Linked DNA regions of Caenorhabditis elegans. The protein of the gene in region 1 purifies or fractionates together with the protein of each later gene. This does not show direct contact. Each region holds a gene or a part of one and is shown in the gene's direction. Other genes may lie near its edges.

What was found.
Region 2: the proteins of cyn-7 (region 1) and Y47G6A.22 fractionate together in Caenorhabditis elegans (co-fractionation; one large-scale study listed by BioGRID). This does not show direct contact.
Region 3: the proteins of cyn-7 (region 1) and ubc-12 fractionate together in Caenorhabditis elegans (co-fractionation; one large-scale study listed by BioGRID). This does not show direct contact.
Region 4: the proteins of cyn-7 (region 1) and ilys-5 fractionate together in Caenorhabditis elegans (co-fractionation; one large-scale study listed by BioGRID). This does not show direct contact.

The regions. Positions count from the first base shown.
Region 1 is NC_003283.11:15,185,901-15,189,575, reverse strand, and holds cyn-7 (Peptidyl-prolyl cis-trans isomerase 7), read left to right. Parts: upstream 1-2,197; 5' UTR 2,198-2,215; coding exon 2,216-2,284; intron 2,285-2,332; coding exon 2,333-2,584; intron 2,585-2,698; coding exon 2,699-2,893; 3' UTR 2,894-2,994; downstream 2,995-3,675. Other genes in the region: bath-36 (BTB and MATH domain-containing protein 36), read right to left, coding at 31-314, 364-935, 996-1,102; Y75B12B.3 (Transposase), read left to right, coding at 3,316-3,552, 3,603-3,650. UniProt on the Caenorhabditis elegans protein: PPIases accelerate the folding of proteins. It catalyzes the cis-trans isomerization of proline imidic peptide bonds in oligopeptides.
Region 2 is NC_003279.8:3,559,115-3,565,220, reverse strand, and holds Y47G6A.22 (DeHydrogenases, Short chain), read left to right. Parts: upstream 1-2,369; 5' UTR 2,370-2,376; coding exon 2,377-2,398; intron 2,399-2,450; coding exon 2,451-2,683; intron 2,684-3,636; coding exon 3,637-3,816; intron 3,817-3,867; coding exon 3,868-3,974; intron 3,975-4,951; coding exon 4,952-5,015; intron 5,016-5,068; coding exon 5,069-5,227; 3' UTR 5,228-5,287; downstream 5,288-6,106. Other genes in the region: Y47G6A.33 (C6 domain-containing protein), read right to left, coding at 266-552, 1,082-1,133; Y47G6A.21 (DeHydrogenases, Short chain), read left to right, coding at 5,425-5,589.
Region 3 is NC_003279.8:11,908,968-11,912,706, forward strand, and holds ubc-12 (NEDD8-conjugating enzyme ubc-12), read left to right. Parts: upstream 1-2,352; 5' UTR 2,353-2,359; coding exon 2,360-2,453; intron 2,454-2,499; coding exon 2,500-2,948; 3' UTR 2,949-3,086; downstream 3,087-3,739. Other genes in the region: exo-3 (exodeoxyribonuclease III), read right to left, coding at 1-239; rbm-3.1 (RRM domain-containing protein), read right to left, coding at 483-630, 686-764, 983-1,007; rbm-3.2 (RRM domain-containing protein), read right to left, coding at 1,454-1,610, 1,696-1,774, 1,968-1,989; mag-1 (Protein mago nashi homolog), read right to left, coding at 3,180-3,578, 3,650-3,709. UniProt on the Caenorhabditis elegans protein: Accepts the ubiquitin-like protein NEDD8 from the uba-3-ula-1 E1 complex and catalyzes its covalent attachment to other proteins. Plays a role in male tail tip morphogenesis.
Region 4 is NC_003284.9:6,532,522-6,538,783, reverse strand, and holds ilys-5 (lysozyme), read left to right. Parts: upstream 1-1,943; 5' UTR 1,944-2,006; coding exon 2,007-2,040; intron 2,041-2,672; coding exon 2,673-2,785; exon of another isoform or gene 2,786-3,527; coding exon 3,528-3,644; intron 3,645-4,382; coding exon 4,383-4,439; intron 4,440-5,136; coding exon 5,137-5,235; 3' UTR 5,236-5,294; downstream 5,295-6,262.

The DNA.
Region 1 (3,675 bases):
TATCAACAACAAATTCAACAAAGCTTGGAGCTAATCTTCCAAAAGATCAATGAGCTTCTGAAGCAACGCATTGTAGGTTATATGATCGAGAGATTTATAATTTTCGTGATGCTTCAACGCAGTAACATCTTCGCTGGTCTCCAATTGCGAAAGGCATGCATTTTGAAGCCTTGAGAGTCTGTAGACTTCGGCGAACTTCAGCTTGTCGATCAAGTGGGTCTTTTGGTCCAAAATCAAAAACGTTTCAGCCTTTTCCAGAACTCTTGGCACCGCGAATCTATCGCTCAGCTTGAGCAAGTGAGACACGTTGGAACCTGAAAATCCGTTAATAATTCCAAGCCTCAAATAAAAAAAAGAACTTACTATTAATGAGCATGTGAGTGGGGTAGATCACATTGAGCAAATCGATAAACTCAGAGTGGGTCACATCATCGATTTTGATCTCAGCCTGTGTCTTTTCGGCGAAATTCGAATAGAACATTTTTTGGAAGAATTGCGAGCTCGTTGCGAGCACTTGCTTGCCAACATGGACATGTTTTCCTTCAAGCACCAGCACAACATCGGTAAGATGTTCCTTGGGTTGATCGAAAGTCTCGATAATCCTCTCATGAATTCCGGCAATCTTGTTGACAGTAATTTGGACTTCAAGAACGGCATGCTTATCGAGCACAAATCGATTATCGTAGCAGATGGCTTCCTCCCAATTTTTAAAATTGTTGACCACCACAATCTTGTTCAAGTCGTCGAACTTTTGCTGAAACTCCATCGAAAACGCGTCATCATCCTCGTTTGAATTGAGTCTCAGAAGTGAAAAACGAATTGACGCATCGCAGGACCACAAGTTGCTGCGCAGTTCCTCGTTGCATTTCAGGTGAATTCCGAGATGTTTAGCATTGTTCGTAGCGTCGGAAGTGCTTGTGAATGCTCCAAGAATCCTTAAAAGATAATATTTTAAATAATTTAGAACATTTTTTGTTTCATTAAAATTCACTAACCATTCTACGTGTCCAATTTGCACTGGTTTGTGCTCCGTCGCCTTCGCCAAGCCAGAAAAATTTTGAATCTCAAAACGAATTGATCCTTTATTGTCTTTTCCAGACATTTTATCTTGTGATAAATTTAATTTGAACAATGAAGAAGAATTTGAAACAAACAATTTAAGCTGAGCAATGCTCTCACCTACAGTACACTAAATGGCTTCGAGACCAGTCAAAATTTATAAAGTTTATTGGTCTATTTCTAGGACTTTCACATTAACCATTTTTAGCACATCACGATGTATTTTGTGCAGATTTTATTTTGTCCTTGTACGAAAAGATTATTTTTTAGCGGATAAGCAAAGCTAATCTTGACGAACCGCTTCGCAGATACCCGTCACATGCAGAGCTTCATATTTAGCTCAATCGATCTCGAAAGCATTCAACAAAATGAAAAACTGTTGGATTAATTTGTGATCTATTTAGCAATTTAAAATGTTCTCAATGTTTCTCAATGTTAAATCATCTCGATATTTCTCCTTCTTTTCGTGAAGACCGTGGTGATGATCGAACTGATATCAATGACCGGTTTTTCAATGTAATCTTTTATTGCCTACAAAAATTGTTATCAATTTCGGCGCCGTTCTGTTGTTTTGTGTACGATCATTTGAAAACACAGGCGCACGGTGAAAGTGTTGACAAAAGGCGGGAAACACAGCGAAAGTGTCGTCAGATATGGCGCATGTCGTATGATTGGGTGTCGGGTACGCAGACACTTTTGCGGACTTTGTTGTTTACGTCGGAAAATTCTAGAAGCGAACGGCTCATTTCTTCTCTCTTTCGTCGCCTAATTTGTTGATTTTGTCAGAATTTTTATAGTTTCGCTTATTAAAATGAATTAAAATCAATTGAAAATTATTTAAGAACTTTTTTGATGTGCAACTGTCGTTTAATCCTTGTTGAATCACGTCTTTCGGCAGATTTTAGGCCCAACAGGAAAATTAATTTAGTTGGGCCTAAAATTTTCTGTTTTAGTGCGCTAATTCACTCCATTTCAGTATATAGCTCATCCGTGTGCTTCTTCCTTGTATCTTATGGTGCTTTGTTTATATTTTTAACTTTGATTGATTCCCGCTCTATTACCGCAGAGCGTGTTTGCCGCACCTCTGTAGATATACCTATCTCATACATATTTCTCAACTATAACTCAAGCATTTTAGTGATTACCCTACCTGAAAATGAGCCGCCCAAGAGTCTTCTTCGACATCACCATCGCCGGAAAACCAACCGGACGTATCGTTATGGAGGTAAACAAAACACTGATCTTTTTTCATGAAATTAAATCTTATTTTCAGCTCTACAACGATATTGTTCCAAAAACCGCTGAGAACTTCCGTGCTCTTTGCACTGGTGAGAAGGGAGTCGGAAAGTCCGGAAAGCCACTCCACTTCAAGGGATCCAAGTTCCATCGTATCATCCCAGAATTCATGATCCAGGGAGGAGACTTCACCCGCGGGAACGGAACTGGAGGAGAATCCATCTACGGAGAGAAGTTCCCAGACGAGAACTTCAAGGAGAAGCACACCGGACCAGGAGTCCTTTCCATGGTAAGTTATGTTGCCTAGCCAGATTGAAAGACAGCATAAACTGATAGAAAAGAAGCATTATCTAGTTTCTTAACTGTTATCCACTGGCTGATAAGTTTCATTGTTTTTCTTCAGGCTAACGCTGGACCAAACACCAACGGATCTCAATTCTTCCTCTGCACCGTCAAGACTGCCTGGCTCGACGGAAAGCACGTCGTTTTCGGACGTGTCGTCGAAGGATTGGACATCGTCAGCAAGGTCGAGGGCAACGGAAGCAGCTCCGGAACTCCAAAGTCCGAGTGCCTCATCGCCGACTGCGGACAGCTCTAAATTTGTTCTCCGTGAGAACTTTTCTTCTTTTCAATCACCCCATCCAACCCTGTTTATTGCTTCACTTTTTCATCTTGATCATCAATAAATTGCTCGAAAAGAATATAGTTGTTCAGTTACATGGGTCGTACTCGAGGAAGCCTTCGTGAATTGTTCTCAACAGCTTGGAGAGAACTGTAACATTGTAGAAGCGATTGAAAGCGTCGATTTCCGTCATTTTGTTCCAATCTCTGCGCATTCTATCCTGAATTTCAGACAACCGTTCGAACTCTGTTGACTCGTGAAGAGTAAACACATAAAATGGAATTGTTAGAGGAAAAGCTGTAAATTGTGCAAATATTCAGATTTCGAGCATAAAATGTAGGCATTGTTGCCAGCTCTTCACATTCTTTTGGTTATTCTCACTTGTCAGATTCCTAGAAATGTTTCCCGAGATTCTTAATAATGAAAAACTTCGATTGGAGAACATTAAGAAGATCTATGAATCGAGCAAGTCTGGTTATGAATCGGCCAAACAGTTGTATGAGCAGCAGGTCAACAATCCGGAAGTTTCGGATGAGCAAAAGTCGGAGAATTTGGAGAAATTGAAGGAGTCTCGTGGTGATTTGGACAACTTGCAGAAGAAAATCGTCGAGCTTCAGGCGAAGATTGAGAACTTGGTTAGTTGAATACCTTTTTAATAAAGCTCCAGTAGTCTCTCCATTTTCAGAGCAAACTCGGCGGGCAACAAGGAAATCCATTCAAGAAGTTGTTCTAATTTTTGATATTTTCTTAAATGAACT
Region 2 (6,106 bases), on another chromosome or scaffold:
TTTTCTAATTTTCTAGTCAACAATTATTGGCCAGCAGCTTCTTAATATTTTCTATTGCCTGATTTACGGTTTTTTTTAATTATTTATTTTTTTCCTCCAATTTCTGCTTCCACAAATATTTAAATGTACCAAATAATTTCCAATGAGCTTCTGTGATTTGTCTATTTTTATTTATTTTTTTCTGTGAATAATAATTCATTTGTACTAGTATTTATTAGTTTCATTTGATAAGTTTCCTAACAATTTTTGGATTATTTATATCTTATTACGAGGATCCACACGCAAACGCAGAAAGTGTCTGACTTTGTCCGGGCACACTGATCTTCCATTTCGATCCATCACACTTGATGCTTCCTTTTGATCCAACTTTACTCATTGGGGTCACGAATTCACGTCCCTGTTCATTGTAGTACCAAACATCAGAGCCAGCGGGGCATTTTATCGAATATTGATTGCCGGAGCCGGTTACAGCTTGAGAAAATGGAGCGAAATCGCAGAGGGGACAATTGACTCGGCGGGGGAGGTAGATGCTGGAAATGCCGGGGCAGCCACCTGGAAATTATTCAAATTATTCATTTAGGGCCGCATTTGCGCGTAAAATTTGATGCATTGGGTCAGTGAACTACGACAGTGCACCATGTTTGACGCGCAAATTCGAAAAAAAATTTAATTTTTGGGGAAATAAACAAATTCCCTGTACAAAATTGATATTTTTGAAAACACGTGGTGTCAGGCTGTCTCATTGCGGTTTGATAAACAAAAAATGCGGGAATATTTTTCCGGAAAAATTGTGACGTCAGTAGGCTCTTAACCAGGCGAAATAAGATGAGAAGTCTGCGTCTCTTCTCCCGCATTTTTTGAAGATCAAAACCCAAATAGGACATTCTGACTCCCCTTACGAAAATTCACTTTTCAAATAATCTGGCGAAAAGCAGAAAAATTCGTCAAATTTTAAAAACTATTTATAAAAAATCCTATTTTTTCATTAATCCCATTACACTTCTTTTTTTTAATGAATTGGGTGATTAAACATTATTCGAATTTTTTTTTGTTGAAAAATCAATAATCTCAAAAAACCCACCATAGACAGTGACGATCAGAATCGTAGCCAGTAGAACAATGATCTTGAACATTTCGCCGCTGACCTATCTATCAGTACTCAAACCCTAATTCTCAGCCTTAAATATCGTTACTGCTGTTTTTTTTTCGGCGACGAACGCTCACCCCGCCCCACACACAAAACTTCCTTCATCATGATTGATTAGTTTTTGAATTGAAACGGGAAAAAAAGACTGAACAAAGGGAAATATTATTGAGACGTAGAAAAATGCGCTTTTCACGGTGGTTCAGTTGCTAGATGGGTGCAAACGCACTCCACCGAACAAACGTGCATAACTTGGGCAGGAAGCACAAAATCGAAAATTCATCACAAATAAAGATAGGTATATTCATTGCGGTCATTTCTTATATGCATCGCAAAATCGATTTTGTGATGGTTTTCGAGATAGTAGCCAATATAGGTTTCCAGACTGACACGGACAACTGAAAAGGATCCGCCCCCAAACGTTGGGTCTCGTCAGGTATTGGCGAGACAACCGGGAATTTTTATGGTTTTTTGCCGATTTTACTAGTTTTATGTGTCGAAATTAAGGAAAATCAAATTAAATAACGGTTTTCCCTTTTAAATGCAATTTTAAAAACATAATTTCGATATAAAAATCTTGAAAAAACACGAAAAAATGCTTGAGAACAGGTGAAATCGGCAAAAAAGCGGTAATACCTAACGAGACCCAACGTTTGGGGGCGGAGCTTTTCCATTTGACCGTGGAGCGCGCTTGCACCTCGATTTCAAAAATCGCATTTTTCTGCATCAAAATTTTACGATTTTTTTCTCCATATCTCGACACGACAAATATTTGTTAAATACGAAAAGGTGTGCTCCTTTAAAGAGCACTGTAATTTCTCGTTTTGGAATTTTCATTGACACAGTACTCTTTGAAGGCGCACATCTTTTTACATTTAACATACATTTATCGCGACGAGACCAGGCACCGTAGCTTTGGCACAAAAATAGCAATTTTTTCAAATATCAACTACAGTAACCCACAGTTTGACATGGATTTTGAAATAAAAAAGTTTGCGCGTCAAATGTGATGCATTGAGTCATGTACCTAATGCACCACAGTTTACGCGCAAAAAAATTTGGAAAAGTTGAACTCCTGATGTGTGATGTGTTATCAGGAGCGGAGAAAACAAAATTTGTATTTTTCTCTGGGTCTCGTTTTTTTAGGATGCCGTTTATTATTTGTTTCAAAGATTTTTTTTTCAATTTTCAATTTTCAATTTTAATTTTAATTTTGATTTTGCAGGTCAACCATGCCCGTCGCAATTGTCACAGGTAATAATGACTCTAAATACTTGAAATTCCATTCCTCTCCCCTCTTTTCCAGGTGCAAGTTCTGGTATTGGACGTGCGGCGGCTCTTCTTCTCGCCCGGAACAACTACAAGCTCTCACTTACCGGACGGAATGTGGCGGCTCTCAATGAGCTCGCCGGGCAAATTGTCAGTGCTGGAAGTGATAAGAATGATGTACTGGTGACCGCTGTTGAGTTGGCTTCAGAAGAAGCTCCGAAGACTATTGTGGATGCGACTGTGCAAAAGTTTGGACGAATTGACACATTGGTGGGGGGTTATTTTTGGAAAGTTATAATAAAATTTAGAACTATTACGGGAACATAAAAATAAATAAAATTCTGAGAATTCGTACTGCACAACATATTTGACGCGCAAAATATCTCGCAGCGAAAACTACAGTAATTCTTTTAATGACTACTGTAGCTCTTGTGTCGATTTACGGGCTTGATTCTCATAATCAAGATAATAAAGCCCGTAAATCGACACAATCGCTACAGTAGTCATTTAAAGAATTACGGTAGTCTTCGCTACGAGATATTATGCGCGTCAAATGTGTTGCATTACGCATTTTCAGGATTTTGTGTTCCCGTTATAAAAAATTTTAGTTCAAAATTCTTTTTGAAAACGTAATAATTGCGAATTTTGTAAAAAAATGCACAGAAAATTATCCAAATGTGAAGTTTTGCGACTACTATTGCGTTACAAATACGGTATCTGGTCTCACCACGACTAATTTTTGCAACTTGTAAAAAGGTGCGCGCCTTTAAAGAGTACTGTATTTTCTTTTGTTTCTGCGGAATTTTCATCGAATTTTATACTTTTCGATAAAAAACTGTTTGAAAAATTAAAATTTATATATAAAAATCGAAGGAAAATTTGAAAAAATTCTGTAGTATATGCGAGTACTGTAGCTCAGTTTTGCACCCAAATTTAATTATTTTTTTTAAAATTAAAATTATTTTTGTCGCATTTCACATTAAGATTCAGAGATCTTAGAATTTTTATTTTTTAAAATTTTTTGAGAAAAAAGTTTGCGCGCTTTTTTAGATACTTTTTTTTTCGAATTTTCCAAATTTCTGCCTAAAGAGTTTTCTCATTTTTATTTTCGAGAAAAATTGCACCAACCTGTAAAAAGAAAATATGGGGATAACGAAAACATTTAAAAAAACTCTCCAACCGATTCTTGAATTATTAAACCCTTAAAATATTCTAAATTTCAGATCAATTCGGCCGGGATTCTGCGTGCCGGACCAGTTCTCGATTCTGGAATTGAAGTCTACGATGAGCTAATGAATGTGAATGTTCGTAGTTTGATCCGCCTGACACGTGCAGCTCTTCCACATATTATTACAACAAAAGGAACTGTTGTCAATGTCAGCAGTATTAATGGACCGTGCCCTGTATGATGTTATTTTTTTGTTGAAAATAATTTTCAAATTCGCAATTTTCAGTTCCCAAATGTAACCTATTACTGTATGTCCAAGTCGGCCGTAGATCAATTCACAAAATGTTTGGCTCTCGAAATGGCTCCGAATGGAGTTCGTGTTAATGCTGTTTGGTGAGTTTTCTCGCGATTTTTGCCAAAAAACTACGGTGCCAGGTCTCGAAGCGATCGATTCTCTTTAAGGAGTACTGTAATTACGATTTTTTCGGTTTTTAGGTTTTTTAAAGAAATATTCGAAAAATAAGAAAACATATACATTTCTTCCAAAAAGAAGAAAAATTGTCAAAATTTCAAGATATTTTGCGAAAAATCGGAAAAATATTTATTTTTGAAATCGAAAATATTTTTGGCTTTTTTTTTTTCGAAAAATCGAAAAATTATCGGAAAATATGAGTAAGAACGAAATCACAAAAAAAAACTAGGAAAATTTCCTGAAAATTCTAACTTTTTGCCGAATTTTCATAGGTTTTCTTGTTTTTGTTCAAATTTTGATGCATTTTTATATTTTTTGAATAAAAACGAATTTTTTAAAAGACAGGAGCTAAACTATGGAAAATTGCTTTAAAAATCTCGCAAAAACTAGGAGTAAGTAACTACAGTACACTACAGTACTCCTTTAAAGGCGCACGCACTTTTGAATTGAAAAAAAAAAGATCGCTTCGAGACCGGTTACCGTATTTTGGTGCAAAAATCGCTAACTTTCTCATTTTTTGTCGAATGAAACGCTAACAACACACGTATTACGGGAACACAAAATTTTGGGAATTCGTCTTACGCAACATATTTGACGCGCAAAATATCAAAACTACAGTAATCCTTTAACTGACTACTGTACTGCTTGTGTCGATTTACGGGCTCGATTTTGGAAATTAATTTATTTTCTTCGTTTCTTCGTATTATTTTCTCATTTTCAATAATCTTTTGATAAATAAAAAAACCCGTAAATCGGCACAAGTGCAACAGTAGTCATTTAAAGAATTACTGTAGTTTTGATATTTTGCGCGTCACATATGATGCGCAATACGCATTCTCAAAATATTGTGTTCCCTTAATAAACCCATATAAATTTGTCATTTCTCCAAAAATTTCAGCCCAGGGGTCACCGTGACCAACCTGCATCGTACATCTGGTCAAGACGAGACAACATATTCTGCGGTATAAAACCTGCTGCACTGACCTTGACAAATAAATATCATCATTTCTTTCAGTTCTTGGAACGTAGTAAAACGACACACGCACTCGGCCGTCCCGGTGATGCCAATGAAGTTGCTGAGGCAATCTATTTCCTCGCCTCTGAGAAAAGTTCATTCACTACTGGAGAACTTCTTCGTGTTGACGGAGGCCGCGGAATCATGCATCCGAGATAAATATTAGCTTTTTTGTCTCATATTGAGATTGTTTTGAACTTTTATCATGTAATAAATAGAGAGATACATGTATTTTTTTTAATTGTGTTTTTATTGAATCCTTTATAGTGGTTTTTTCCTTGCTTAATTTTTTTTTTTTTTGAAAAAAAATCGATTTTTTTTTGATTCAGTTTTGAATTTATTCAGAGTATCCGAAAATGCCAGTCGCCATCATCACCGGAGCAAGTTCGGGAATCGGAAAAGGCACGGCTCTTCTGTTCGCGAAAAAAAAGTACCAACTCTCGCTGACCGGAAGAAATACGGATTCTTTGAAGGAAGTCGCAGCACTATGTATTTCAGAGGGTGCAATTTCGGCTGATGATGTGAGTTTTATATTTTAGGAACTGTGACGGAAAGTACAGTATTACGGGAACACAGAATTCTGAGATTGCGTATTGCGCAACATATTTGACGCGCAAAATATCTCGTAGCGAAAACTACAGTAATCCTTCAAATTACTACTGTAACTCTGGTGTCGTAAATCAACACAAGCGCTACAGTAGTCATTTAAAGAATTACTGTAGTTTTGATATTTTGCGCGTCAATTATGTTGTGCATTACGCATTCTCAGAATTTTGTGTTCTCATGATAGCAGTTATCACAAAAAAATTTCGATTTTTTTTCCTCGTTTGTAATTTTTGGAAACACCGTTTTTTTGTCGAAAAAACAAAAAAAATTATTTTTTTAATTAAAAAAAACCGCCGCCATGGTCTTGACACATACAAAAAAAAATATTAAAACTCATCGAATATCAAGAAGTATACTAAAAATCATTAAAAATTACAAACACTTGCAGGTACTGTAGCTATGAATTTTATTATGTCGTTTCGAGACCAAAAA
Region 3 (3,739 bases), on another chromosome or scaffold:
TCCTCCATCTCCGGGGGCCACTCCTTACACTTGGTCTCTCCTAGAAAAACGAGGTCAGGCTCCTCGGCGAGCACTTCCTTAAAATCACTTTTCTTCACACAAGCTCTGAGCCCTGCCACGTTCCAGCACACAAACTTCCAGCTTTTCTGATTATTGTCCTCTTCTGCCGGCTTCACCTTCTTTGTGAAGATCGAGGCGAGCTTTGGTGCTGGTGCTTCTTCTGCTTTTCGCTTCGACATTTTCAGCAACAGGTTAGTAGTCGAGTAGGCTCTTGAACGGAGCAGCTGGGGAAGAAGAAAGTTGAATCAGGTCGGCGGATGGAAGGATGACAAATAGAGAAACTTCCCCGAATGTTGAACAGATTAGTTAGAGAATAGTTGAAATTGAATTAAATAATTAAATCGATAGTTTCATTGGATTGTTATTAATAATGAGATCAGTGAAGAGCAAAAAAGTAACAAAAACCCGATATGAAGATCAACTTATTTGTTGGCGAGGTTGACGCGGAGTGGTCTTCCATTGAACTCGGCTCCATTCATCTGCTCGACGGCTCTCTGTGCGGATCCTTCCTCGGCGAACTCGATGAAGGCGAATCCACGTGGACGTCCGGTTTCGCGATCACAGACGATTCTGAAAGAGATATTGCGTTAGAAATCATGAAGCTCGGGCTGGCTGGGAGAGTTACCTGACGTTGTTGATTTGTCCGATGCTGCTGAAGAAGTTTCCAAGCTCCTCCTCGGTGGTCTGGAATGGAGCGTTTCCAACTAAAAAAAAGGAAAATTTTAATTGATTTAAATATTTCGCAACCAAATTTGAATCTAAACACTTAAAATTGCCTTTTCAAATGAAAATATTAGGGAAAACTTCGCGAATTCGATTTTTCCGAAAAATCCCAAAATTTCAGGACAATATCGAGTTTTATTGGCTATTTTAACCAGTTTCCGATTGTTTAATACTTAAAATAAATTATTAAAAAACTAACCGTAAACAGAGAAGATTCCAGACATGACGATTTTAGGCCGTAGCAGAAAATTTATGACGGTTTAATTTTTCCGCTCACCCTGCCTTGGAGAAAACGTGCGGCAGTTGCGTAAAAACCGTGCCAGGGTTGCGTTTTGGCCCCGCCCCTCGAATAGCATCGATTTCGACAGATTTTTTCCATTTCAAGCTGAAAATATGAGGAATTAGTCCAAAATAAGACCGCGAAGAGTGTTGAAACTTGAATTTTCAGTTGTAAGCTCACATTGGGCTGCGCATAGCCCAGGATTCAAAACTTGCTCGAACCGAAGCCGTTCCTTCAAGCTTCTAGCCTCAACGCTTGCCATCAGATTGACCCCAAATGAAGATTCGAAATAAAAAAATAGAGCATATATATTTATGATAACGATTTCATGGGTTTATTATTATTGAGATCATTAAAGATCAAACAAGTAACAAAGTACCGATATGAAAATTAGTTGTTTCTGTTTTGAGCCAAGTTGACGCGTAGAGCTCTTCCGTTGAAATCGACTCCGTTGAATTGGTCGACGGCTCTCTGGGCAGCGGCCTCCTCGGTGAACTCGACGAAGGCGAATCCACGTGGACGTCCGGTCTCGCGGTCGCAAACGATTCTGAAAATAGAGATTCATATTGAGAGTTAACGGGTCGTCGTTCAGGAGGTTTCGGGAAGAGGAGATTTCGGGGAGAGAAGCTTACCTGACGTTGCTGACGTTTCCAGCCTGGCTGAAGTAGTTGCCAAGGTCGTCCTCGGTAGTTTGGAATGGAGCGTTTCCGACTGAAAAATGCATTAAAATTATTAAAAACTCAAATTATCTCAGCCTAATCAAATACAATAAATAGAAAAACGCCTGGAGAAAAATAAAAATTTTAGGCCAGACTTTAAATTCGGCTTTTCTCGATTAAAATCTGCTTTTAAAGCTGAATATTCCAGTTTTCTACTTGAATAATTTACAATTAACAAAACTAACCGTAAACAGAGAATCCAGACATGACGATTTTAGGCCGGAGCGTAAATATGTGTGATTCGAATCGTTTTCGCTTGCCTCCTCCGACTCGTGGGAAACCGTGCGGCACTTGCGGTAAAAGTGTGCCAGCCTTGCGTTCGCGCTCCGCCCCCTTTAGTCATTTCAGCGTTAGCAAACGCTGCGTCTTTTATTCCTCATTCTCTGTCATTTTTCATAGCAATTGTTTCATTTTCTCACGTAATTTGTCGTTTTTTCGCTGAATTACAAGATTTTCATCGATTTTTGACCCTTTTACACTGTAATTTTGCCAAAAAAACGATTATTTTCTCTATGTTTCCGTATGCGCCGCCTATATCGCTGAAAATTATCGTATTTCTTAATTTTTCGCTTTCAGAATGTTCAATCTTCAAAAACGAATCAACGGCAACAACGAGGACGGTCGGTATCTTGAAACCCGCATCGCCGTCCGTGACAAGCTCCTAGCTCAGGGTATGTGGCTGCTTTATAAAAAATTTTGATTTTACAACATTTTCAGAACTCCAACAGCTGGAGACTGCTCTTCGCGATCAGAAGCAAAAGCTGTGGCATCTCGAGGTCCCATCAACATCGTGTCTTCATGAGTTGGAACTCACCGTGACACCTCAAGAAGGAATCTATCGTGGAGGCAAATTCCGATTCAAGATCACCGTCCCGCCAGAGTACAACAACGTGCCGCCCGTTGTTAAGTGCCTGACAAAGGTTTGGCATCCAAATATCAACGAGGACGGATCGATTTGTCTATCGATTTTGCGTCAAAACTCGTTGGATCAATACGGATGGCGTCCAACGCGTAACCTCACCGACGTCGTCCACGGACTCGTCTCACTGTTCAACGATCTTATGGACTTCAACGACGCGCTGAACATTCAAGCCGCCCAGATGTGGAGTCAGAATCGCGAATCGTTCAATCATCGTGTTCGGGAATACATTTCTAGATATTGCTAAGGACCAACGGATCGGATTACAAATGGCCTGTGAATTGACCCCCCCTATGAAATTGATTTTGATTCTAACTTTTCCCCCACCTCTCAGACTTTTTCTAACTGTACTTTTTGAAAGAAATAAAATTTATTCTTGAGAAATTTGAGAACTTAAGAAGAGAAGAGAAAATCGAATAAATTAAACAAGTTAAAGAGATTTGGTGGATAAAATAGAACAGAGTCTGAAGGAATTAAATTAGATTGGCTTGATCTTGAAGTGAAGGCCAATGAGCGAGAAGACGAGGCACTTGAGATCCTGAACGAGATAGTAGAACGAGCGGAGACCATCCGGATCTTTCGAGTTGTTCACATCGGCTAGAGCTCCGATTTTGCCGGTCGTAAACGAGATGTGCTCGTTTTTGTACAGAATTTCCAGCTCCTGGCGTCCAATCTTGTCTGGTTCTGGCCAATTGTCATCGTCCTCCTGCATGATTTCCGAGTCTTCGATGATACGCTTGAGCTCGCTGAGCACCGATTCCGACACTGTCGCCTCTTTGCGGATCATCGTGTCATTCTTGTAGTTGGAGTTGTTCGCGTAGCGAAGCGATCCGTTTGGACGGAATTCGAATTCGAGAAATTCGTGACCGAATTTTCCCTGAAAATTGTTTCGTAAACTAATTTAAATTGGCGAAAATTGTCATTTTTCCAAGATTTTCCAAGACCTACCTTGTGTCCAACGTAGTAACGAACGTAAAAGTCCGCTGCCTTCTCTTCTTCGCCGCTCATTCTGAAAATAAATAGGAATTGAGAAAATCC
Region 4 (6,262 bases), on another chromosome or scaffold:
ATTTCGAACATCTGCTGTTCAAGTACAATTTCCTGGTCCGGTATGTGAAACATTTTCTACTAGTCCAAGCTTCACTTAGAATACTAAATAGAGTTTGTTCTCAACTGAGTCTTCAGCTTTCGATTCCTTCCTGTCTTTATATAAAAACATGCGCTTCTGGGAGTAAGTTTGTTTTTATTAGATAAAAATATTATCATTCCCTTGTTATCTTTTTGTTATTGTGTTGAATAATCAAACAAGATAATTTTCATTTAAGTGTGTGAAGCGTCCGACCAATTCAGAACATTCCTACTATAACCAATGTAACAGTCTATGTATAAAGTCACATGTTACCACACATTTTATGATTTTTACGGAACTAAAGAAGAGTTTTTAGAAACTACTTGGTACATACTTATCAGAATGGTTTGCACGAAGGAAATTGGTCTTGAATTTCAATTTTCTCTGCCGCTTCTTCCAATCTCCCAGCACACCCATGTCTATGAAGCAAAACCAAATTGCGATGGAATCGGAGCAATTTTTGATATCAACTGATAATGTTCATTCGTTTCCGAAAAGTCTTAACGAGGCGAAACCATGCCGATCGCACTATTTACAGATCATATTATAACAAAAACGGTTTGTGTTTCATTATTTGATAGCACAAACTGTAGACAAGGAAATACGCACCTAGTTTGGTTTGCTGGAAGAGCATGACAAAAGAAAACAATTCTCCATAAAAGCGTCTAAAATGTAACAATGAAGATCGAAAAGTAAAAACTTGTGGCAAAGTTCTAGACTGGATAATTGATGCGACAACCAAGTGGTTTTGTTGCGTTTTTAGTCACGATTATTCCAATTCAGGCTCTCAAATGACGTCGTCACACATAATGAATGAATTATGACAAAACAGACTGCACTACTGAAGAGAGCAATGCGGAACGAGGATTCAGTGTGTAAACTAAGGTAAATCCGCGTGAACGTCGTAACTGCTTGGATTTACTGTCTATTCACTCATTAGTGAGTGATATACTTGTATTGAATGAAATTTCCTAAAGCTCCCGTCGTTACGGAATTCACGGTCAATTGAATTTACAAAAACCGTCCGTATTCAAAAACATTATTATAAAATGAATAAAAATTGAATTGTTCGATGTTTGATTGTTTACTGTTTTGGTTTTTGTTTAGATTATTCTACTTGTACTTGAATTGTCCTTTTAACATTTTAGTGAAAATAATCAAGCTTGAATGAGTTTTTTTTCAGTTTCACATGACTTAACCCTTGCACAAAGTTGTTGAGCCGGAAACTAAAGCTTACTCATTAGAAAAATTTACCTACTACCTGATCGTAGTTAGGGTTTTTACAAATAATCTTTGTGTTAAAAGAGAAAAACACGCTTGTTTTGTGAAAAGAATGCTGGTTCGAGATGTATCTGGGGAACTGAAAAACGTCGGTTCAAAAATTAGCTCAATATTATTTTTAATGGAACTTTATAAGAAAAAAACATCATCACATAAATACGAAAATCTAAATATTACCTCATTGAAATTTGAATAACAAAAAAAATGGTCAAAGACACAAATAAATATAATCTTGATCCTATTTCAGAGTATTTCCTCGTCCACCCCCACCAATCAAAAGTATATTAGGAAGCCGCGTTCTTTTTGACCCGAAGATTGGATTATAAGATTAGCAACAGAGGTGTATCCTTTCACGGAAAATTGCAGTCCATTTCAATAATCACAAGATTTCTGATTTGTTGCATTGTGTTGGTTTTCTGGGGAAGGATATACGTTTTTCTAGAACTATCCATGCCACACTTTGATTGGCATTGAAAGTGGCATCAATTGCTCTTTCGCTCTGCGATCACAGAGCTGTAACTCCGCCTCTGACAGTCTTCGGTACAGGTGCTTACGTAGGAATTACCGGGTTTTGAGATAAGGAATTGTGATCAAAGGCACGTGTAAGTTGATATAAAAGAGAGTCCAAAAGTTAGCAAACTCAGACAGCTTGTCCATCAGCCGATATGTTTGTCAAATCGCTTCTGCTCCTTTCTGTCGGTGAGTGTGATAACAAAATTAAAACTGGTTTCAGTGAACAGCAAAATTGTATAAGATCTAGTAAATCACCAGCTCAAAAGAATTAGATCAAAACCAACATGAAATTGGATTTTTAAGGTGCTAATTTAATTTCAATGTTTACATTTTCTTTTTTTTTTAGTTATCAGTTGAAAATGTTTCGATAAGTCTGAACACTGATGCGTTCAATCAATTAAAACAAAACTAGAGAAATTTTTAATTTCCATAAGGCTGGTAATATCTTCTTTTAAAAACAAAGAATGAAACGTCATTTAAAGTTTAATATCGGCTAACCAAAGATTAATCTAGACTCAACTACTCCCATATTTAGTGTTAACTCTTGTTGTTGTTTGCTTGTTTATAAAATTTTATCGGATGAAAGTTCGCTTAATATTAGCTCAAATCATTTCTCGGCTCACGGGACATCTGATTATAGGTTTACAGCTAATAGCACGTTTTGAAAGCTAAATATGTGTTTCACATTTGTAAAAAACAATAGGGAAAAGTAACAACAATTATAGATCGAAGAAATAGGAGAAAAATAAAAATAAATTGAAACTTTAAAAAAAGGCAGAGACAGCGAATAGAACTATTTCGTGATTACGGTATTTCAGCTATTGCGTACGTTTCCGCCGACTGCCTCCACTGCATCTGCATGAGAGAGTCAGGATGCAAACCAATCGGTTGCCACATGGACGTTGGATCCCTCTCCTGCGGATACTATCAGGTAAATCAAGATCAACTAGGGAATATGTGAATCTAGAAATGGAAATAGCAGAATATCAGAACACGTTTTCAATTTTGTCATGAAACCATACAAGATGTTCGGTTGCCTGTTTATTGTTTTGCCATTTAAATAAGGAAACAATAACACTTCAGAAAAATACGTGAAATTCAAAAGCTCATCTTTCATGTCTTCATTAATTGATGGTTTTTGAAATCGGCACGAAATGTTTGTTATGCCTCATTGAACAGATATTTCTTTAATGAAAATCTAGCATAATTGAAACGGTTCATCGGACCACAGCCCCCATATTTTTCACATATCTCTTCTCAAGCGAATCGGAAGTTCCTAATCAGTATGGTAAAATAAATCGCGTTGAATTTTAATTTTGAGTTTTTTCGATAAAAATGTATAACAAGAAACGATGTTTTAAATTGCTAAAACAAAAAAACCACAAAAGAGCAAATGCGTACTTTCCCGAGGAAATGGACAGGAAATGCTTTGAAAATGTTAAAACGGGATTGATTTTTGTATAGGGGAACTTTTGCATTGAAGCTAAGAAGATAAAAGGCATACTAGAAATGAAAACTTTCAAAACCATGTAGACAAGGAAATTGTATGGAACAACAACAAGGATATACAAAAATTGAACTCTACTCTATGTATTCCAGTTTTTTTTAATTTTAAATGTACCAAGACCCAACTATAAAAAGTAAAGAATAAAAATATAATATGTTTCTTTTAGATCAAGATTGGATACTATGAAGACTGCGGACAACCAACAAAGAAGGCTGGAGAGACTACTGAAGCTGCCTGGAAGAGATGTGCTGATGATCTTAACTGCGCTACCACTTGCGTCGAGGTACGTGCAGATTTAGCAACAGGATACATGCAAAAAAAATCATCAAAATTCTTATTTTGGGAAAACGGGTGTTGAGTGGGTGCAACTTTTCATCCTTAAATCGCAAAATTCCGGATAGACTGCGGCTTATTTCAGTCATGGAAGCAATTCTATCCTTTGGGAATCTCGTCATATCATTCTCAAAATTAAAAACTTCGCGACTAAATTTAGTGTACGAATTACGTGGATCGCCCACCTGAGAACTCAAATTTCTACTATCTGCCGCTAATTGAGGCAAATTAATTTAAACGTCATGTAGACAATACTGCGATGAGTAACTTTTCTGCAATTTCAACGGCGGAACTAGAAAAAAAGGAACTAGCTCAAAATAAGTTGCGAGATAATGTCAAAAATCACAGAATTAACCTGTAAACAAAAATGCACACATAGCAAACGAGCCCAGCAAAAAACGTCATTGTTAGCTTCTATGTATGGCTATAGCGGTGGCGACGTTAACGACATCAAAGACAATAAGTACTTATTGTTATCAACACCCCGCTAACAACGTGCTTACCACGCCATAAAAAGTAGCAAAGAAAGATTATGACGGCTTGAAAAGAGGTTAAAGAACTCTAATACGGAATGAATGTTTGCACTCTTCACAAAATTTATTGAATACGTCAAAAATCACATATACAAAAGAGGAAATCTAAAATTTTAAAATCTACATGTTATACAAGCATTTTGAAATAATTTCAGAACTACTACAACCGCTACAAGTCTCAGTGCAATGGACTTGGAATGGGAGCTTGCCAGGTGAGTCGCCTACGCAGTTGTTGTTTTGCTCTGGGCACTTTCAAATTGTGTAGATGAAATACAATTTAAAGTTTTCGAGTGTCTGGTAGTTTGGAGGAGGTTGCCCCCCGATTTTGATTTTTGAATTGATCAGAAGGAAACAAAATATTTCATAAAGTGATGCGAAGTTTTAGGAAAGATACAAAAATTTCCGCGAAAAAGGGGTCAGAGTTTTTTATTTAGAGCAAGAATGCTACTACGCAACTAACTATAAGAGGTTGAAAATTAAATGTCGAACATTTCTATTTTGGGTAGCAGGGGAAAACATTAATATGCCATAGTCACTAGGTAGGTGAAACGACCCTCTGGAATAGAGAAATTATTGCAGACCTGAACAGGTCTGACGTAGAAATGTCTAGAGCATCCAAGTAGTATTCCACCAAAAAATGTACATATACTTCCTGACAATTTTTGGAAAATTCTGACGACAGAAACACTACAATTTTTTCTCGATTCTTTATCTTTTAATCATTTTGGTCACACTTGAGCAGTTTTTTAACATCATTTCATTGAGTGGACATGTGTATTTGACAATTGATAATAGTGGGACTAACAATCAGAAAACTACGTAGCATTTTCAGAAGTATGTTGTTTTGTTCAAGTTAGGACAAAAGACCTTAGATTTCAATCAAGCAAATGGCAATCCATTCAATTTCAGATCATGTCCCGTAACCACAACGGAGGACCACGTGGATGCCACAACGCCAACACCTTGGCTTACTGGAACGGAGTTAAAAGCTGCTGTGGATGCTCTTAATTTTCAATTTTATCAAAATAAGAATATATATGAATCAATAAAGCTTATTTAAAATCAAAGTAGAAAGGATATCAAACTTGTTTATAAGCTTTTCAAAACATAGGTTGCGAAAAAATGCGAACGTTTTGAAAAATAATTGAGTAGGCGAAGAGGTCAGTGGGTTTAAAATGATGTCAGAGTGAACAATTTATGAGAACAAGCATATCGTTTTCTAAATTTGTAAAGGTCTAAGTAGACCACCATCTATGTCATAGGTTGTATCTTAAAATAAGTTGACCCGTTTTATGATCTAGTTTTATATTCTTTTTGCCTCTGGTGAGAATAAACAAGGCTTTCAATTTGTCTGCTCGATGATGCATGATGTTTACGATACTTTCGGATTAAAATAATCGTGAGATGGATTTGCACGAAAAGGTTGCGGAACGAACAGCTCGAATGATATTAAATGATAATCTCGAATTGTCAACAAAGTACATTATGAAGTGATAGGAACTGTTGTTCGCAGACCTGAGATGTTTTGAAAACTTGATTTTAAAACCTACGCAACCGGAAAATTAAAGATCACAAGATTTCTGTGAGGATCATAACGGGTGTAGGTAGCAACTTTATCTCGGTGTTTCCACATTTCTATTTCAGGCTTAAAAACAAAGTTGGTCTTTTTCGTTCTCAAGTTGAGCTCAAGACAGAAGTTGGGAAAAATATCATTTTCAGATTACCAGCAAACTTTTCAAAACAGAGCAGAAAGAAGAAAACTGATCATTCGTGATAAAATATTTAGTCTCCCGAGGATGAAAAGTTTAAGGAAGTTAACTTTTTTATCTGTTGTTAATAACCTATTTTTTAGATTGAGTATTCAACATATGTTAAAAAAAATGTTTTCACTTCAAAATTTGGAAGAAAATTAGGTACTTTTCCGATTTTTGCCCCCCAAAATATGTTTTACTCAATATTTCAATTTAAATTCACACGTGAATGTTTATTTTAATACTATTTCAAATTTTTAGGCTTAGAAAAAACAATACTAAGC